2 linked regions of the Cricetulus griseus genome follow. The protein of the gene in region 2 interacts with the protein of the main gene of each other region in a pairwise test. Links are inferred from orthologs where the notes say so. Each region holds a gene or a part of one and is shown on either strand. Other genes may lie near its edges.

Region 1 (10,787 bases), on a different chromosome or scaffold from region 2:
CCACAAGGTGTCCCTTTTGGTGTACGTCTCTCCATCCTTTGGCTCTTATATTCTTTCTGTACCCTCTTCTGAGATGCCGCCTAAGCCTTGGAGGAAGTAATACAACTGTCCTACTCAGGGCTGCACTGCATAGTCATGTACTTGTTTTGACCAGTTGTGAGTCTGCTCTAGCTCTCACCTGCTGCATAAGAAGCATCTCTGATGAAATCGAGAGCAGCAGGAAGTTATGGCCATAAACACAAGTATTTGGGAGATAATTTAGCATTGTGATCATTTAGCAAAATAACAGTTGTAGTTTCCCTTTTAGGGCTTTGGACCTCTCCATCATGGATTCTCGCCTTGTCGTAGGTTTAAAGAACCAGGCCTGACTCTGATGTTTGAAGATGAATTCCAGACTCCTAAACCCATCGATGGGCAGGCCAATTGGTAAAGGAGTCAGGAAATTCAAAGTTAATCACTCCAAGGTAGACTGGAGAAGCAGCCTGTCCAAGTAAGAACATCAACACACTTTGTAATGTCTCACATTGAGTGTTGTGTGAAGGCATTCATACTTGACTGCAAATCTGTACCTCTTATGGTCCTGGATACTGATAATTCAATTAAAAATATTTTTTGACAGTGTTTCCCTGTGTCATCCTGGCTGGCCTCAAACTCACAGAGATCTTCCTATCTTTGCCTTCCAAGTGCTGGTGTTAAAGCATGTGCCACTAGGCCAGGCCAAGAGGCCACACTCTGTATTTCATAAGTAGCAGATCAGGTCACAAGTAGCCGAGTAAGCATGCTTAGCTCTCCTCACAGGCAAGTGGGTTAAACCCAGAGAGATGGAAGCAGGTCATACCCTGGGAGCTGGAAACGTGTTGGGGGCATAACCGAAGCCACAAACCATGGTTCCCAACTCCTTTCTGCCTTATGCTAGAGCCACCACTACCTGGCTGTAGGCAGGAAGTAACCCTTCTGTTCCTGGCAGCTCTGCTAATCTGAGAGTGTGAGTGTCTGCTCATCTTATTCCTGAAGTGGCCTACAAATCACTGGTGAAATGCTAAGGGAACAGAAGAGGAGCCACAGCCTAGGCAGGTTCTTCCTCTCCCGATTTTAAGCTCTCTGTGTGGAAAGAAGCCACCAGCTAGGTACTGGGAGCCCCTCAGTGACCCTGATTTCCTGTCAGCTTTGAGATGGGTAAATGCCCCCTTAAACTGATGTGAAGCAATAGAGAAAGTGCTCCCCAGTTTTCATGAAGAGGCACCTAGTTGTGTGAAAAAAAGGCAAGGGTAAAGCTTCATGCTGTCCCTGCTTACCTAAACTATTAGGGCAGGAGGAAGCCATGGGCTTCTCCTGATTTATAGTTGTCAAACTCAGAAACCAAGGTTTCTGAGAGCTGTGATAGGATAATAGCATTTTAAACATCCCTTGTTCTAGAACTTTCTCTTGTATATGAAAGGGAGATTAGATTTTAAAGCATGTGATCTAGTGTCGTGAGATATTTGATTATGCTGTGTAAAGATATCTCACTCTGATTGGTTTAATAAAAAGCTGAACAGCCAATAGCTAGGCAGGATTTCCAGGCACAGAGGACACTGGGAGGGGGAGACACAAGGACACAGGGAAGCAGCACCGGCATTACAAAGTAAAGGCAACCGAGCCACATAAAAGAAGTAGATTAAAAGGAAATGGGTTAATTTAAGTTATGAGAGCTAGTTAGAAACAAGCCTAAGCTATCGGCCAAGCTTTCATAATTAATAAGTTTCTGTGTCATTATTGGGGAGCTGACAGTCCCGATGAAAAATGTGCCTACAGTCTAGTGATACGAAAACTAGAAAGTATGTGTAGCCTGCCTTGGCTGACACTGTCCTGCAGGGTGGCCTACAGGGACATTTTTCATCTCAAGTGGGATGGACATCAAGACTCTGTCTTCCTTCCCATATGGACCTTAGAAGGATTCAGAAATACACAACTACTGACATTCCTCATCTGAACTGACAGTTGTATCCATGGCAGAATGCCAGAGGGCAAAGCACAGAGGTGAACACTGGGGCATCTAAGTCAACAAGGCTGACTGGATGTAGACTACTTCTTCCTGAGAATGGATTTGTGAACTCACCTGCACTCATTCCCAGCATTGTACCTGAGGGTAGACCCAAGTCCAGCTATTTGGGGGAATTGTACACAAGTAAGTGAGGGGTGGGCTCAACCTTGATTCAGAGGGAAAAGGCTCTTTATCTTCTAATGCTAATCTTTCCAATGAGCGAGCAAACAGACACTTTAGCCTGGAAAGAGGGTCTAGCCTGAGGAGAGAAAAAGGGTGCTCTAGCAAACAGTTTTAGCCCTGCTGGTTGAATTGAGACCCAGTCCTGGTCTCCTGTCTCTATTCTCTGTGAAGAATGTGGTTTCCTAGCTCCTTAGGCAGGACAGCATTGCAGGTCGTTTCTTGATTAACCCCTGGTCATCCACAGCCTTGCTCTGCCCGACCTTTCCCTGTAACCCAAATCTGCCTGTTTGTCTTTGGGCCTGGGAAGGATAGACATGGTGACCACCTGCAGCTGCTTCCCGGTTGTGCAGTGGAGTCACACATCGTCTGCATGTGTGTGTGTGATTGCTTTAAAAAAAAAAAATCCCTGCATCTTTGCAAGCTCCAGGGCTTTTACTTGGAACCAAGAAATTAGGTCTATAGAGTTGCAAGTAAGAGTCCCCAGAGCTTTATAATCAAGCTGCCTGGGCCAGCAGCAACTCCAGCTGTGTCCTGCCTTGCAACTAAGAGTGGTAGCCCATTTGCCACCTGGTGTGGCACCACACTGCCTCCTTGGCTACCCCTCCAGTCACCCTGAAGGACAGACACAGCAGAGAACTTCAAGAACTGCTTGTACCTTCTCCTGTCCATTCTTGATCACACCCCTAGCTCTCTGATTTTAAGGCACTCAAGTAATTCCCAGGAAGTGACTAGTGAGGGCAGGGGAGGCTATTCCTGCCTGCTTGGCTTCTGCCTGTGGTGGGGTGGCCGATATACCTTAGGTTGTGACCTAGACTGCCTCTGAATTAGCATGTATATCTGACTGATACAGTTAGTATCCACCCAGCCATGCCGGTGAAGTGCTCCTGTGGTTTTTGTTTTGTTTTTTGTTTTGCTTTGGCTTTCTAATCTACAAACATATCATTGTGTATGTTTGTAAGTAGATATGTTGTCAGCTGACTGGGACTTGTGTAGGGTCTTAAAATATTGTTTAAAAATGTAAACTGTCTTCCAAAACTAACACATGTCAGCAGTATTGTCCTCCCTTTCCCGTTCTGCTTCCTGTCACCCGGAAAGGTGTTGTATTTTAGACGCACCTTCCCTTAGTCTTTGCAAAAGCCCAGGCTTTTATTAGGGAATTTAAAAGACGCCCCTAAGTTCAGTTTGTCCATCCGAGTAGCTGAGAAGCAGCCTGCTTCTGTACATAAGCGTCAAAGAATAAACCGCGGAGCGGAGAATTTCTGTTATGTTGGGCTGTTGCTTGGAATTAGGAAAACGTGTTAAAAAAAAGTCTTCACAATCGCATCAATTTGCAAGCATTATGAAGATTTTTTTTAAACAAACTGATTCACGTTCATTACAGCGTCCAACATCGTCTTTATCCACCCCACACTTCCAACTACTCTCTTTTCTCTGCATTTGCCTTCTTCGAAGTATTTGCTTAGTTTTTGGTTTTGCTTTTTAAGGGGTGTTGACCTGTGTCTAGTTCTAGTAAACCGATCCCTCTGGCCAGCGCCGCGATTGGTTAAATGCGCGGCTGACTGACGCGGTGTGGAGAGCGGCTCCCGGCAGCGCGGAGCTGATTGGCTGCGCGCGGGAGATCCAGGGCTCGGCCACCCGCACACCGCGCACTCGGGCTGCAGCGTCGCAAGTAGGTGCAGCCGCCCGCAGCCCGCCGCGCCTCCACGAGCCGGGACGGCACTCGATCCGTCCCGCGCGCTCCCTGCCCTGCTCCAGTCCCGCCGCGGCCTGCGGCTTCCGAGGGCCCCATCGGCTCCAGACTCGGGGAGCAGCGCGCGGCCGCCAGCCGGACGGGGCCGGCCACTGCGCCTTTGTCCCCGGAGGCTCCGGGAAGTTTGCAGCGGGACGCGCGAGTGAAGGCAGCGCGGGCAGCCCCGACGTCGCCGAGCAGCATGGGCAGCGGGCGCAGCGCGCGGGGCCGTGGCGGGGCCACCTCCGGAGTGCTGCTGGCGTTGGTCGCCGCGCTGCTGGCCGCGGGTTCGGCCAGCGAGTACGACTACGTGAGCTTCCAGTCGGACATCGGCTCGTACCAGAGCGGCCGCTTCTACACCAAGCCTCCGCAGTGCGTGGACATCCCGGTGGACCTGAGGCTGTGCCACAACGTGGGCTACAAGAAGATGGTGCTGCCCAACCTGCTGGAGCATGAGACCATGGCAGAGGTGAAGCAGCAGGCCAGCAGCTGGGTGCCTCTGCTCAACAAGAACTGCCACATGGGCACCCAGGTCTTCCTCTGCTCTCTCTTCGCGCCCGTCTGTTTGGACCGGCCCATCTACCCGTGCCGCTGGCTCTGCGAGGCCGTGCGCGACTCGTGCGAGCCGGTCATGCAGTTCTTCGGCTTCTACTGGCCCGAGATGCTCAAGTGTGACAAGTTCCCCGAGGGAGACGTCTGCATTGCCATGACCCCGCCCAATGCCACTGAAGCCTCGAAGCCCCAAGGTAAGGGTGTTCCTTCCCACGCCCGCGAGCCCCTGCTGCAGCGGGGATAGCAGGGAGCTGTGCACCACAGCCCGCAAGGTGTGCAGACTCGATCCCGAAAGCTTTTAGGAGGTCCGGGCGTCACTTGGCCCTTCTACTGGCCCAGGTACCTCGAGATTGCTGGGGAGCCTCGGCCCTGGGGGTGAGGTGCGGGGGGGGGGGGGGGACGGCGGGGGGAGTTGGGTGAACCTGGAGCTGCCCTTCCTGGGCTCCAGTCTGGCGTTTTCCATACCTGTAACAAAGCTAAGCCTTAGGTTTTGAAGAAAATGAGGGTGTCCACCCAAAGCTCTTAACATCCGAAACAGAGACTGCTCCCTAGGAAAACAACTCATCCAAACTGCAAAAAACCTCAGACTGAGGGAAACCTGTGTTTGTTTTCATAAGTTTGAAAGTCTTTTTTTTTTTTTTCTAAAAGCAAAACAAGCAGCAACAAAACACCCCCTCTCCTTAGTTTATCTTCCATTCGTGTTGCAGAACTGGCTGAGGAAATGAAGTTTAGAAAGAGCCACTTCTGTTTCTTCGCCTCTAAACTCAGGCTACAGCCTTGAATTTAGCAAATCTAGGGGATGCAAAAATCTCGTGTCCACCATCCTTCCATACCCCCTGCGTCTCCCATTCACACAAATCCTTGGGTAATTAGAAAGATAAAAATGTAATTAGCTCATTGTTTATCTCCTCCTGGGGGGTGAGGAACTGCAAATTGGGTGCTGCAAATTCTGAACCCTGGGGGAGTAGAATTTGTTCTGGGAACCCGGTATTTAAAGGTGTGTGTGTGTGTGTGTGTGTGTGTGAGAGAGAGAGAGAGAGAGAGAGAGAGAGAGAGAGAGAGAGAGAGAGAGAGAGAGGGAGGAGGGAGGGAGGGAGGGAGGGAGGGAGGGAGGAGGAGGAGGGAGGGAGGGAGAGAGAGAGAGAGAGAATCTGGATACAAAAAACAAAAACATGCACAGAACCCAAAGCAGCAAGCCCTACAGCAGCCCTGGCCCAGTTCCTTGGGAATGGGTTCATTGCTGTGGGATGAGGCTCAGGAATAGCAGATACTCTTGTCCAGTGGCCCTTATCACAGGAGAGGGTACCCCAAGGCCACTTCTGAAGAGGATACTTTAGCTTATCTTAAAGTGTTGAGTGTCTTGGCTTTCTGAGGCAGGGTCTTAATCTCTTGGTGTGCAGCCCAGGCTGGTCTTGAACACAAATTCCTCCTGTTTCAGCCTCCTCAGCTCTGGGATTACAGGCTTGCACTGCCAAGTGCCTCTTGTTTAGTGCCTCATTTGGCTGCCACAGAGTGAGGATTGGGGTAGACGTGAGGGACGTTTGAACGGCTCCTATTCATTCTGGGGAGGAAGGTAGGTCCAAAGTGATTGCCCTCGTCTGGCATGGGTCCCAGCCTGTAAGGTAAATGGTAGCCCTGGGCACCCCTGTCCTCAGGGCTGGTATGTGCAGTCTTTTGACACGGCTCTCTGGGGGTTGAGCATTTCCCTAGACTTCTTCTATCCCCATTGAGCCTCCCCACCCCACCCCCTGCAGACCACAGTTTCCTTCCTAACTCCTGCCTGCCAGGAGAGCTTGTGGCCAGCTTTGCTTGTATTCCTTCCATTCCCCATGGCTACTGATTGATTGCCCTTTTCTGAGGTTATTGGTGGGCATAAAGTGCAAACCTGTGGGAAACAGCTTTGTGTAAAGTGGCTGAAGTTTGGGGGCAAGAAAAGAGGACCAGAAGGGAGTGGCACTGTTTCTGAGGGTCCCCCAAACCAGTCCCTCCAAATCTGTCAGGGCAAAGGGCACACCCACCCTAACCCATTTCTGGATGCTTTTGTGTGAATCCATGTGTTTGGTTCATCCTTGCCTGGTGCTTAGGTAGAGCACTTCTTTGCTAAATAAAGACCCCCCCCCTCTCTCTCTCTCTCTCTCTCTCTCTCTCTCTCTCTGTGTGTGTGTGTGTGTGTGTGTGTGTGTTGTCTGGTAGGAGTGTGGCTGTGGCTGGTTTTCTCTGAAGTGATTTTGACTTTTGTGAGAGGCATCAATGTCTCTCCAGAATGTCAGACTGCCATTATGAGGGTGTCCCATGTGATGCACAACCCCCTTACACACACTTTGCCCTGAAGGGCTGTCCCGCTGCTAGCTGAGAGTTAAGTTGTGTGTGAATAAGTGAAGATTAAGACACATAACCTTAGACTGGTAGCCCTGGAACAAGACCTGGGACTTTGAGATGATAGTAAGTTACCTACAGGTGCCTACTCTCTGGTCCTCATCCACCCTGTTATCTTAAAACTGAAACCTCAAAATTTCAACACAGCATTACATCTTAGTATACAGTTTTAGGAATACTGGGGCATTCGTTGTTATTAAAGAAGAGCCTGATCATGAGAAATGAGCCGAAGACTTTGATTTCCTCTCTCTCAAACAGGCTGCTCGCACTACCTTGGCTTCTGTGACAGGAAAGGGAATTGTGCCATCCATCCCAGGAGACCGACTTCTAGATCTTGGACATACATTAGACTAGCTTAGGAAATTGTCGTTCTCCTTCCCTGCCGGGTTTCACTGAGTTGTGTGAACGAGCCCATTGCGTTCAGTTGTGTTGTTTAGGTATGTTGTGTATTAGGTCAGCCAGGCTGTGTAGTCACAGGCTGGAGAGGCCAGGGAGCCCCCACTTCTCCCAGAGGCTCCTTATGGTACCTCCTCCTCTCTCCTTAGAGAGCTAGCTGCCCAAGGAAAATCGATCTCCCTGCCTTCCCTTCCCCCATCTCTTTCCCTTCACCTCCCTCCCACTCTCTCCTCTCCTAGTGCACATTGATTTTACAAGTAATCTTAATCCTGATTCCAGCGTTGGCTTTCCCCTCTACTTTCTTGTAGACATTAACAAAGTACAAAATCTCTTAGTCTTATTCGTTTGCTTCACACTTTACAGCTATGTTTTGGTTTACCTGTCCAGTGGAAGTCTCAGTAGATTCCTCCTGTGAGGTAGGCTTGCAGGGCCCCCAAAGACACATGAGGGGCAGAGATTAATATTGCATTACACATTCTTCTCCCTCTGGAGAAAGCTGCTCAGCTCCTGGCTGCAGAAATTGAGAAGAGGGAAAGCCATGTTGAAAATAAACGGTGTTCCACTCCCACCCTGCACCTTCCCCACCAGCAGCAGCACTGAGAGCGATTGAAGGCCAGGAGGAATCTGCAGGCTGAAACATCTGTCCTGTTGGGGTGCAGATCCTCAGAGTGCCAGTAGAATTGGAGGTGTATGAAGGAGACCGATAAGATTTGGTCTTTATGTTTGGATGCCTTGCTACTCCTTTGTTCAACATTTTATACCTTGAATTTTGCAGTGTGATAATGTCTACTTAAAAAAAAAAGCAATCATAATAACAGCTAGGAAACCCAAACACACAGTTCTTTTTCCTATTATAGGTCTCATGATCCTGTCTATAACTTCCTTTCCTTTTTCTACCTTTCTTTACATGGAAGCAAACACCATGATGGAAATTTCTGAGTAAGAGGTTTTATGTTGTCATTCAGAAACATCACTTTCAGAACCCAATTTCAAGCTCTGGGAGTGAAACAAACATATTTCCAACATCTGACCCGAAGAGTTTTGCTAGCTTCTGCCCCCCAAATTTGAAAGGCAGCTGCCAGAGTATGGTATATGTGGGAGAGAAAACTGGTGGATATGGGCTGGAGATGTGTTCCCTGCCCTAGAGGGAGTGGGCTGGGGAGTAGCTGCACCCAAGAGGGTACCCATTTCATAGCCTAAGCCATGGAGAAGGGGGTGGGAAAAGGGATGGTGTTGGTGAGCCACAGGTGACAGGAAATGAAAGCCAGTGAGCACAGATGCTCAGCACACCAAACCGCACCTTGACTACTGTCTTCGGGTGACTTCCTTTCAACTCCAGTCAGGATTTGGCCTCCAGTGTCCAGGATGCCAGGAATAGACTATGTTTAGTGTACTTGTGGTTTTCTAGGTCACAAATAAACTGTTAAGTTGTTTGATAGGTGATGAGAAGGAGGAATTTTAGGGAGATGATAAGCTACTTCAATTCTCCTGTAAACACTTTCTCTCTACCTTTCCAAGGAGGCCTGTGAAGCCGCTTCCCACAGGGGCCTAGTCACCTCTCAGTGGCTTCCCCCCCCCCCACTTCTCTTCAAAGTGCTTCATGAAAGATCATCTAAAGGGTTTCCTTCTCGGTCAGCTCTGCCCTCCATTTGGTGGGTCTGGCTGGCCCCTCCCATCCCCCCACTCTACACACAGCCTGCTTTCTGGAGTGTCTCTATGGCACTTCAGGGCCCTGGGCTTGAGTGATTGAGTATGACTCCTCTCTTGGTCCCCAAGACCTGGTCAAATTGATGGGCTGTCTTGTTCAGAGTTTGCAAGTAGGAAGGGGGATGGAATTGGAGGGGTGGTAGATAAAGGGGAGGGGAAGAACTAGAAACAAACCAGGGGAAGATCGGTTTTGGTGTATAAGCTAGCTTTCTTTTTTTTCAGGTACTCATAGCAGCCTGGACTGCCTCTACCGACTGCAGATAGCAGTCAATTAAATAATCGTCACACTCGACATATCTAGGCCAAAATATTTGAAGAAAACATTCATCTGTTTATGCCTGTGATCCTGAGTTCAAGATCCCTTCATTGCCGTTCTTTGGATACCTTTCACGAATTCCAGACCTTTAGCCCTGGCTCACCTGGCCCCCACCTGCTCTCTTGTCCAGGGGTCCTCATCACTGTGACTTACACAGTTTCTGTTTCTGCTTGCTTCCCTTTTTTAGGTACAACAGTGTGTCCTCCATGTGACAACGAGTTGAAATCCGAGGCCATCATTGAACATCTCTGTGCGAGCGAGTTTGGTAAGCTAGAGTTTCAGCCTCACTCAGGGCTCTTGGATTCCCCTCCTTTCCCTGTCCTGTGTTTCCCCCTGAAGGTGGAGCTCACGGGGACATCATGTCTGAGTTTTACATCCTCTGTCTCCACCTTCTCATATTCACTCTCAGGCAAAAGGAAGTCTAGGGAGAGTAGAGCATAGGCCATCTTTTATTAAAGTTAGACTACATATGCCCCTGTGTCTCAGATTTGGAGGAACCTTCTTTTATGGCAGAGGGAAGCAGACTTGGGGACTGGGGGAAGCCAGGTGCCTGAGAGTAAAGTGCCCTTCACCTGCTGCAGTAGCAGCCCTGGCTTGACTTTCTCTGTGGTTTGATTTTTATATTCACCCCTAGGTGTCAGCACTACTCTACCCTGGACTGAAATGGCCCAGGGTGGGTGGGGTGCCATCCCAGGAGGGGGAGATTTCTGTGCTTAGCGGATTCACCAGAGGTCCTAGTCAGGGCCTTCTGGGCAAAGAACACTGATGTTGACACAGGAGTGTGATTTCTCTCCCTACTTCCTAAGTCAGTCTGGGTTGAAAAAGAATTCGAAATCAGCACCTGCAGCTTCCAGAGTGAGGCTAGACTGGGCTAGGGAGCAAATTCAGGACCCTTCTAGGATGGCCCCTCTGGCCAACAAGAAAACCCAATGACTCCTGAACTTCGAGAACGGTATGAAATGTGCCCTTTTAGAGTTTGCCCCCTCCCTCTCTTGGATTTCCACTGCTGGATATAGAGCAGCGGTCAAGGCTAGACCCATTTTGCTGAAGGACAGATTTAGTTTGATGCTCAAAATTCCAGGTTGTGTCCTTGAGAATGGATTTCTCACTTCTTATGGGAGAAAGTATAAAGGTAGGTGATGTGAGTTTTCATGTCTGTTTAGAGTTATCTCCTCTGTGTTTTCATTAACCTGACATGATAAAGTACAGGAAGAGTATGATATTGTGAAGTAGTGTGCGCCCATGAGCTCACACAAATGGGAGGGAGCACTCCCAAGCCCAGGGAGTTTGTGTGTCATGGCACACATATTCTTAGGGTGTTTGCAGATATATGTACAGAAGCTGAATTGTTCAAATCATTTGCCAAAGAGACCTTAATGAGAATAGATGCTTATTTATTTATTTTTATGGTTTTTCAAGACAGGGTTCCTTCTGTGTAACAGTCCTGGCTGTCCTGGAACTCACTTTGTAGACCAGGCTGGCCTTGAACTCACAGAGATCCGCTA
Region 2 (10,525 bases):
AAAATTCCTGACTGTGGGTTCCTATGCTTCTAAAAAAGGATGTGAACTAGCAAATGAAGGGATGTCACACAAATGGACATAGCTTTGGTGCATGTCGAGGTTTCTGCTTAGTAGCAAGATAGGAACAGCCACCTAGCATATGAAATTCAATGTCCAGAATAGACCAAAACAGAAAGGAAACAGATTGGAAGTTACCAGGAGATAGAGTAGAAGATGGGAGGTGACTGGTAATGGGACAGGGTTTCTTTGCCATTGGTGAAGATATTTTAGCAATCAGGTCTGATCAGGTGGGGTAGGTCTGTCATTCCAACTGCTATGGACGATGAGGTCAGAAGACTACAAATTCAAGGTCAGCCTGGCAACTTTGTGAGACTGTGGCTTTTCAGTAAATCAGTGAAATGGGGTGGGAGGTGGAGCTCAGGGGTAGAGCAGTTCCCAGTCAAAGCGGGTCAGATCCCACAGCCTGAGGGATGGTAACAAGACAGAGAGCCTCGAGGGCCCTGTTACATCGGTCCGATGGAGGCAGGGAATAAAACAAAATAAGAAAACGACCTTCAATGTGAACAAGGGCAGCGATCTCTTAGGGGAATGGGTCTTGTGCATGGGGGGTGGGGGTGGGTATGGGAAGAGGAGCTTCTAGGGTGAAAGATTCCGTTCACAGGTTTGTTACCCTGCAGTCTCAAATTTGTAATTACCAATGGAGTTTGGTGTGGCCTTATCAGGAAGGGCCTGGATGTTCTCCTGGGAGAGGGGGAGATTCCTTAGTTTATGAGTCCATGCCACTCTTCAGGATCCAGTGAGGGAGCTAGAGGCAAGCAGATGATATCAGAGTATCCTTCCTTAGGAGGCCACACCACTTTGCACTTCCTTATCAGGATCTTCCTTGTTGGTCCTTAGCCTGCTCATGGCGGCATGGTGGCCAGGAAGCAGAGTCACAGGAAGGAAGCAGTCCTGTGCTCTTAACCAATGACCCATCTCTCCAGCAACTCCCTTTTAACAATTTAATTTTATGTACATTGTGGTTTTGCCTGAAGTCATGTCTGTGTGAGGGCATCAGATCCCTTGGAACTGGAGTTACAATTTGTGAGCTGCCATGTGGGTGCTGGGAATTGAACCTGAGACCTCTGGAAGGGCAGCCAGTGCTCTTAACCGCTGAGCCGTCTCCAACTTTGTTTATTGTTTCAAGAGGGTTTTCTTTGTGCAACAGCTCTGGCTGTCTTGGAACTCACTCTGTAGACCAGACAGATCTATTGATTTAAATATAGATTTAAAAAATCTGTATGTTCTCAGGGACACGCCTTTAATCCCAACACTTGGGAGGCAGAGGCAGGTGGATCTCTGTGAGTTCCAGGCCAGCCTGGTCTACAGAGTGAGTTCCAGGAGAGCTAAGGCTGTTACACAGAGAAAACAAAACACAACAAAACAAAAATCTGTATGTTCAGACTTCCTATAGGGACTGTGATGTGGCGGTATTGGTAGAGTGGTCTCCTGGCATGGGCTCTTTCTAGTATGGAATAGAGCAGGTTTGGCAGCCATACCTAGAATTTCAACATTCTGGAGGTGGAGGCAGGAGGAGGAGTAGCTGAAGGTCATTCTCTAACAGCTATGGGTTCCACCACTCTCAAGAGAGCCAATTCTCTGATGCTGGCATGGTTATGGACTCTGGAGGGGAACTGTCCCTTGAGGTTGCTTGATAGACAAAAAATTGTCCCCTGTACTGGCTCACTGTTATTTTCCTTTATCCGAGCATGGATTGAGTGACCTACACACCTACTGCTTGGCATCTAGAGAATTATGACAGTGTGGGCATAAAATTTAGAGTATTCCATTGGTTTCCCCATAGTAATGCACACAGTGTGTGCCACAGTTTGTTGGGCTCCTGAGGCTCCATTTAGGGATTTAATTAAACAAAAGACTGTGGATTCAGGCTATCCCTGGAATTTACCAGCTGTGTGACCTTCAACAAACCTTCTAGCCTTTCTATGCCTAGCTTTATCTGTAAAATGGGAATGATGGGGATATATAATCTCTGGGATTGTATTGGGGATTCAACGAGGTGATTCTGCTTTGTTTGACACAAGATTTTGTTCTGGAGCCTTGCCTAGCCTGCAGCTGGCCTCAAACTCACAAAGATATGCCTACCTTTGCCTCCCGGTGCTGGGATTAAAGGCATATACAACCATGCCCAGCCTGGAGGTAATTTTTTTATTAAAATATTTTATTACATTTTATTTATTTTGTATATATGTCTGCTTGGTGGTCAGAGGACAACCTCTCTTCATTAGGGTATTGGGGCTGGCAGGCTTGGTGGCAATCACCTTTACCCACTGAGCCATTTAGCTGGCTCGCACAACGAGACAATTTTTGGCTCATACAAATGAGAGTGCAGTGTCTCTATATGAATTTCCTCAGAAAGAAAGGCTTCCTCTGTTTTGTTCACCCTGCTCCACGCCTAGAAAAAACTCAGGAACAGAGTAGGCACTCTGTAAATATTTGTCTCCTTAGGGAACCGTCTTATATCCCTGTCCCCAAAGTGTCATTGGGAAGATACACTCTGCCCCAGAGGAGCCCAAGTCCCAGAAACTCCTTGAGAGCCAAACAAGATATTCACAGCAGGGCTTGGCATAGGCCCCAGACGTCAAGATGTCTACTGAGCCAGGTGCCTTGGAGTGACAAATGACACTTGTGGGACTGGTAGGCAAAAACATAGCTTGGGAGAGTAAGTTGGTGACTGAGTAAAATGGTGCAGGCAGTTGAGGGGAGCTGGGATGACTCCAGAAGCTCCACCGTTGGCGCCAGCAGCAGAAAGGAGGCCAGAGATCTGCAAGGGTGCACCCCATGCCATGCTGCTGTGGCCTGGTGAAAATGAATCTCCAGATGGGGAAGCCACCTTGCTAGGAACACACGGAAGGGAATCCGTGCATCCCTTTTGCTTTGAGAATCATGAGCTTTTGGAGTGGGGGGTGGGGAAGAGGATTTTTGTAAACTGTGAAGGGCTGCTTGGAGAGAGAAATGGGTCAGGTGGGTGTGCATTTTCAGATCCAGTTAGCCTGAGAGGCAGCACAGTTGGGGGCTCCCTGGAGAAGGGTGCCCTCGGGGAGGCGATGAAACCAGAGGCAAGCAGCAGTAGAATGTGCTGAAGCCCGGGGCGCACAGCAGCCTCTAACTCGCTTTCCTCCGCAAATTCCCATCTTATCTGCTGCCGTGCGCTCATTCAATCCAGCTCAGGCTAAATCCAGGGGAGAACATCACGGTTATTATATAACTTTCTGAGTTCAAGAAAGATAATCTAAAGATAGGTGACACCTTACAAAAGTCTCCCAACCTCTCCCTAAAATGTAAAACTGCAGAAGTGCACGCAAGAGGTACACAGTTACTGAATTATGCACTACTCACAATGGACTAACGTTTCTTTTATCTGGGGGAGGCTTTCTTTTTTTCAAATACTGGATCTTAGATACTTTATTGCAGTATTACGAAATCTTGGCAGTGCTGGGGATTGAACCCAGGGTCTCACACATACTAGACAAGCGTTCATACCACAGAGTCATACATACAGCTCTTCTTGCTCACCAATATGAGCCGGCATATTTGAATCCTCGACCCTCCAACTTCCTTCTCCTAAAGATCCTCCATGGACATCTCCAACCCAGATTGGTTCCGAGGGGTGGGTGACTGACTCCCTGGTGAGCTCCCACCCCGCCGAGTCTGCAGACATCTGCCCCAAATCAGCAGCACCGGGAGGAGATCTTAACTCTAGCAACGAGCAGCCGCCGGACAATACCCGTCTTTAACTCGCGCGCGCGCCAACTTTGCAACTTCACTCTCCCGCGGGGGGTGGGGTGGGGGTGGGGGTGGGGGCGGGGGGGTGGAGGGTGGGGGTGGGGGTCTATTCCCCGCCCCACCCTCCACTCCCGTCCCCCACCCCCACCCCCCGCCCGTTTGGCGGAAGGATCCCGCGCGCGGATGGGTGTCTCACCGTCTCTGCCAGGCCCCGCCCCTGAAGCGCGAAGGCCGCCCCCTCCCGCAGCGGCCCCGCCCTCCCGCGCCCTATGGGCCTGAAGTCCCGGCCGCCGCTGCACTCCCCGCGCGCGCATCCGTGCGCCGCCCGAGGCTGGCCTGACGAGTCGGCGGCCATTTTGTTCTTCTCGTGGTTCCAGTGGCGAGAGGAGGAGGAAGCCGGGAGCGGGGCGGCTGGGGGGGGGACCCGCCGCGGCTGCTGCTGCCACCGCCGCCGCCACCACCGCTCGTGGGGCTCGTGGCGTGAGGAAGGAGGACGTGTGAGGCCCGGGCGCGAGCCGGCGGCGGCGCCGCTGCGGGAGGGTCGGCGGCAGGACGGCGATGGCGGATATCGATAAACTCAACATCGACAGCATCATCCAACGGCTGCTGGAAGGTGAGCGGCGCGCGGGCGGGCGGGCGGGCGGGGCCGGTGGGACCAGGCCCGGTGGGGACCGGTCCTCGGAAGCCGCTTGGATCTGGGGCGCGCACACAGCGCCTCCGGGTCTAGGGACAGACCCCTTGTTTTTATTACTGCCTCTCCTGCCCTTGCTCTCACATTGTGATAAATCTGGAGTCCAAGGACCCAGTGTGACTTGGCGGGGCGACGTCCCGGGGCGACGAGAGCCCCGTCCCTTGCATCCCCCCCCCCCAAAAAAAAGCCATCCTCCCTCCGGCGCTCTTTCCCCTTGAACGTGCATCCGCACACGGGCCGAGCCGCGACCGGGGTGACAGTGTCTGTGGCTCTCTGCTCATCAGATTGTTGTCCCGAGGAGAGGGGCGCGCTGCTGCATTCAGCGAGCGCCCTGCCAGGTAGGTGCTGTTATCTTGGAAGAAACTTAAAAGACCTCGCCTGACCAAGGGCGAGTCCCGCTTCAAACCCCTGGTAGCCAAGGTCTAGACACGACCTGCCTGCCCTCTTCCACTGTTCACCCTGTGGGAGCGCAGGGCATGCGTGCCTAGTGGCTAAGGGAAGGTTAAAAATCTTTTCTTTTGTCCGACTTATGACGGGGTGGGTGGGGGGCGCTGCAGTGGGTTCCTAGTTGGTGAGAGATTAATATGACATAGGGACTCCCCACAATTCCCGACCTAATGCTGATTGGGTTCTTGACAATGTTATTAACTAGCTGGCTTTTGCTGCTTTTGCCTAAAATACTGTTGGCGTGTAAGAAACATGCCGTGAGTGGTGGTGGTGAACAGCTGCAGAGTCATTGAAAGAAAAGTAAAAAGTGTCTTTTTAATCTGTGCATTTTCTCCCCTAATACTTTATTTTATTGCTTTGTTTAGATCGGGTCTTTTTTGTTTTTGGCTTTGTTGAGACAGGGTCTCTGCAGTCCTGGCTGTCCTGGAGCTCGATGTGTGTAGATCAGGCTAGCCTCAAACTCTCAGATCCCTCTGCCTCCCCTTCCTGAGTGCTGGGGATTAAAGGCTTTTATCATCATTTCCCCTAGATAAAGTCCCACAGAGCCAGAACTGGCCTTGAACTCCTGATCCTTGTGCCTCCTCCCAAGTACTAGAAGTTATAAGCCACCAAGCCTGGGTTATGAAGTCCTGAGGATTGAACCCAAGGCTTCTTCCTACACGCTGAGTAAGCATTCCATCACCTGGGCTGCATCCCCAGCTCAGATTTCGTTGTGTTTTTTTTTTTTTTTTTTTTTTATGTTTAACACTATGCTGAAAAAGTTTTAGCAGTAAACTTGGCTCATCTTTTGTTTTTAAATTTATTTTTCACATGGGATGTGTGTGAGTGCACCCAGGCCACAGCACCCGGGATTAGAGGACAATTGGGTGTGTGTAGTTTGTTCTTATCTTTGTGTAGGCTTGCTTCATCAGCTTTCCTTTCTCCCCCTTTAAAAATTTTTGTTTTTAGATTTTATGTTTTAAGCTTTGTCTTCATATGTATGTGTTTACCACATGCATGCCTATAACCAAGGAGGTTAGAAAGGGGCATTGGGTCCTCTGGGGCTGGAGTTAGATGGTTGTGAGCCACTATCTGTGCTGGGAGCGTAGCCAGGGTTATCCCCAAGAGCAGCAAGTGCTCTTGGCTGCTGAACCATCACCTCAGCCCCCCCTTCTTTTTTCTTTTTTTTTTATGGGGGGAACAGGTTTGAAGACAGCTTTTTTCTACATAGATCAGGCTGGCCTTGAACTCAGCTCTGGGATTAAAGGTGTGTGCCACCATTGATGGGCCCCTATAGTTTCTTGAATGTTACTTTTTAAATTTTGAGACTGAGTGTCACTACCAAGCAAAGGCTAACCTGAGATTTACAGAGATCTGCCTGCCTCTGCCTCCTATAAGTGTTGGAATTGGAGACTTTACCACCATGTCCAGGCTGGTTTTTTATTTTCTTTTGAACTTAATAGAGTAGGATACTATATTTAAATGCTTTGAGAATAAGCTAGTTGCACAGTATATGTTTCTTCTTATTTCTGTATGTGAACTTAACAAAACCACAGCCTTCTGTTGAGGATGTGTGTGCTTCTCCATTAGAGAATGTGGTGTTGTGCTCTCTCTACTTTGTGTACCATCTTTAGGGCCGTCATCTCTGAACACTGGGAGTGAGATTTAAGTAATTCATAGACTCTAGAGATGGCTCAGCTGATAATTAGTGGCTCTGCCCTTAACCACGAAGACCTGATTTGATCCTCAGGACCCACAAGAACTTGAGAGGAGAACCAGACTCTCGCCTGCTTCCCTCCCTCCCCAAACGCTCCCAGCAAGTGTGTACTTGCACACCTCTACATAGTAAAATGAAATTCAGGGTTTAATTCCAAAAGGTGGAGATAAGATTTGTCACTTGATGAGGCATTTTTTCCAATTGATAATTGATTCTTTTGTAGTTGGGCACCTTACTGCCCCAACACTCTGGAGCCTGGGACACGGAAATGCAGACATTCTAGGCCAGGCTGTGTTGGATAGCAATATCTGTCTCACAGTTGGAACCCTTCCTCAAGAACTCCCAAACTTAAGAGCTATGAACGAGCTGAGAAAGGGCTTTGCAAGCGAGGGCTGTATGAACGAGATGGGACAGGGTCTTTAATAATGAGGTGTGGCCATGTGGCACACTCCTTCATCCCAGAGCGGTGAGCTGGGAGGCCAACCTGGTCTACACACCAAATTCCATGCCAGCCAGCTATCCATAGTGAGACCCTGTCTCAAAAAATCAAGGGCTGGAGAGATGGTTAAGAGCATGTTATTCTTCCAGAGGATCCAAGCTCAATTACCAGCACATGGGGCAGCTCAGTGCCTGCTATTCCAGCTCTAGAAGATGAGACACCTGGCCCCCCGATACATACATGTCATACATACATACATGTCGTAACTTGTACAGACAGATGATTAAAGATAAATTTTAACCTGGACATGGTGACACATTTTTAATCTCAGTACTGGGAAGCAGAAGCAGGTGGAACACTTTCAAATCCAGCCTGGTTTACAGAATAAATTCCATCCAGGCCACCCAAGGCTAAATAGTGACATGGTATAAACCTGTAGTCCCAGGCACTTAGGTGGAATCAGGAGGTCAAGGCTAGCTTGGACCACAGAGACCTTGTCTGACAAAACAAATAATGGGAAATTGGGGTTGGATGGTAAACACTAGTGCTTTGCAGCACTCTAACTGCAGTAGCTTTCTCCTGAGCCCCGTCCCTGTGTGGTCAGCTACTCTGATGGAAGGTCTGTTACTCTATAGCACATTCTGGTGTTAGCACGTTGCCAGCTCTATGTTCAAGCAGAACAGATTTAAATAGGAAATAGGCTAGCTGGGTTTGGCCTGGCCTCCTGCTCTGTTGTATTGGTTAAAGGGGGAGTGCGTGGAATTGGGGCACTTTCTTCGTGAAACCTCTAGCATTTTTCTTGAGTACTAAGTGTTTGTAATTGCTTCACATCTTGAGTGGGCAAGAAGTGTGTTTCTTAGCCAGGCCATGGCCATGGTGGTGCACACCTTTAATCCCAGCACTTGGGAGGCAGAGGCAGACCGTGAGTTAGAGGCCAGCCTGGTCTCCACAGTGAGTTCCAGGACAGCCAAGACTGTTACACAGAGAAACCCTGTCATGAAAAACCCATTTTTTAAAAAGTATGTTTTTGTAAAGGAAGGTCAGGAGAAGTGGCTGCGTTAATACAGAGTGCTTGCCAATTCTCATCTTTCTGAAGACAGTCTGAAGTCCTAAAAGTCTCCAAATCTGTGTGTGGCTATTCAGTGCTCCTGTTCTGTAGGTTCAGAAGCCTGTAGTTAAGGTCCTATAGGAAAGATAAGTGAGGACCATGGGCTTGGCTGTATTGAAGCAGATCTTAAAACTGAGCAGAGTCCACAGCAAGATAATTCTAACAGGGACTTCCTGTGCTTCCCAGCATGGACAGGTGTGTCCCCCCCATCCCTCACCTGGAAGGCAGAGCAGGACTCCCTCCCTTCCCTCATGATCTGCAGGTACTTTGGGGCCTTTTTTAAAAACCCACTTTGGCAAGGATGACTCCCAGAGTCTGACTGCCCCTTTGCTTGGGGGACGTGGGGTAGCAGGGCAATCCTAGGCTTTAATTGATTAATGCTGGGGCTGCTGGTATACTTCTCAGTCTAAAAATATGAGGGAGAAAGGCCCAGGTGGGGACTGCCTTGGAGCTACAGAAACCCCACAGAGGCCCCTTAAAGAAAGCAGATCCTTTTTTTTTTTTCTCTTGGTTTTTCGAGACAGGGTTTCTCTGTGTAGCTTTGGAGCCTATCCTGGCACTCGCTCTGGAGACCAGGCTGGCCTTGAACTCACAGAGATCCGCCTGCCTTTGCCTCCTGAGGGCTGGGATTAAAGGCGTGCGCCACCAACGCCTGGCTTGGAAGGAATTTTTGTCTTCATCTTGAGGTCATAACTGTGTGTCAGGAGGGTGGAGGCAAGATATGCCTTCATAGGTTCTGTGGATGTTTCCCCCTCCATTTTTGAAGGGTGTGAGTAATTTTAGGGCTTACCCAAGAGCCCTAAAGAGAAATTCATAGGATCAGATGGGCAAGGTACTGATGCCCAATTATGTTCAGCTGTGGATAGGTTCAACCTTTTTCTTTCAAGACATATTCTAATGCTGCCTTTCCACTCCCTTTGTAGTTGAGAATGACCTTGGACTCTTTGACCCTCCTGCCTCCCACCTGAAGGATGACTTTGCAGAGGTGATGGCCCAATACCTGGTTTAGGCTAAATACGCTGTTTTCAGTGTGTTGCTTTGTGTTTGGCATAGAAAACAAGAGGCATCCTTGAAATTTTTGGCTAGAGCTGCTGCTGCTGCTGCTTCTTTCTTCTTCAGGGTTTCTCTGGGTAACAGCTCTGACTGTACTGGAACTCACTTCGGAGACCAGACTGGCCTCAAACTCACTGAGATCTGTCTGCCTGCCTCTGCCTCTCAAGTGCTAAGAGCTTTTTTAGGCATATCCCAATTGCCCACATTCAGGAAGCCAGAGTTAAAGTGTACATGGTGGCAGCAGCCAGCTGGCAGGGGTGGTGTGCAACAGTGAGGTGGGAAGAGGTACTTCCCTTTGGTAGTTGGGAGGAAAAGAGGGTTCTTGGGAAGTTTCTATAGCTTGTATGTTTTGTAGAAAATAACTTGTTGTTCATGAGAAAGTGTACAGTGTTGCAAACATTTACTAAGTTTATTTGGTTTGAGATCCTTTTTGTTTTGTTTTTTGATACAGGGTTTCTCTGTATTAATAGCCCTGGCTGTGTGGAACTCTCTCTGTAGACCAGGCTGGCCTCAATCTTTTTCTAACAATTTTTAAAATACTATGAAAGTAACAGGTTTTTGTTTTGTTTTGGCTTCGTTTTGGGACAGTGTCTCAGTGGCTATGGAGCCTGTCCTGGAAGTGACTGTGTAGACCAGGCTAGCCTTGAACTCATAGAGATCCACCAGCCTCTGCCTCCCCAAGTGTTGGGGCTACAGGTGTGTGCCGCCACCACCCAGCTAAAGTAACTTGTTTGTTTGTTTGTTTGTTTGTTTGTTTGTTTGTTTTAAAAACAGGGTCTCATTATGTATGTAGGTCAGGCTGGCCTTGGACTCACAGAGATCTGCCTGACCCTGCCTCCCCAGTGCCGGGACTAAAGTTGCTGGTGTGCTTGGCTGACTGCTGCTTTAGGGTCCCGTTTTGGCACAAGACAGCAAGGGCTGCTGACTCCTTCTTTGTGTGCTGCTGCTTTTTGTTCCAGATCTCATTGTGATTCATGTAGGGTTTTTGTCCTGTTCTTTTAATTGAGATGGAGATTCCTGTGTCCTAGGCGGGCCTAGACACTTCTGTGTAGATGAAAATGACCTTGAGCTTTAGATTCTCTTGGTACCAGGCCCAGTTTTATGCAGGGGTGGACCCAGAACTTGGTACACAATGGGCAAGTTTCCACCAGCCGCATGGAGAGGGCTTTTCTAGCCCCCATTACTCAATGTCCTCATCTTCCTCTGGTAATGCTGTCTCCTTTGCTTGTTGCTAGGCTGTTGTTACTGCTGTCTAGAGAGATGCTAGGGCTGCAAATAATCCTCATTAGCACCCTGACTGATCTTGGG

Evidence for each region.
Region 1: the proteins of Ppp1cc (region 2) and Sfrp1 interact in a two-hybrid assay, tested with the Homo sapiens proteins (2 studies listed by BioGRID). The link is inferred for Cricetulus griseus from reciprocal best matches to the Homo sapiens genes PPP1CC and SFRP1.

What each region holds. Positions count from the first base shown.
Region 1 is NW_023276807.1:60,333,063-60,343,849, reverse strand, and holds the start of Sfrp1 (secreted frizzled-related protein 1), read left to right. Parts: upstream 1-4,137; coding exon 4,138-4,681; intron 4,682-9,469; coding exon 9,470-9,547; intron 9,548-10,787. UniProt on the Homo sapiens protein: Soluble frizzled-related proteins (sFRPS) function as modulators of Wnt signaling through direct interaction with Wnts. They have a role in regulating cell growth and differentiation in specific cell types. SFRP1 decreases intracellular beta-catenin levels.
Region 2 is NC_048597.1:102,005,228-102,015,752, forward strand, and holds the start of Ppp1cc (serine/threonine-protein phosphatase PP1-gamma catalytic subunit), read left to right. Parts: upstream 1-4,119; 5' UTR 4,120-4,341; coding exon 4,342-4,396; intron 4,397-10,525. UniProt on the Homo sapiens protein: Protein phosphatase that associates with over 200 regulatory proteins to form highly specific holoenzymes which dephosphorylate hundreds of biological targets.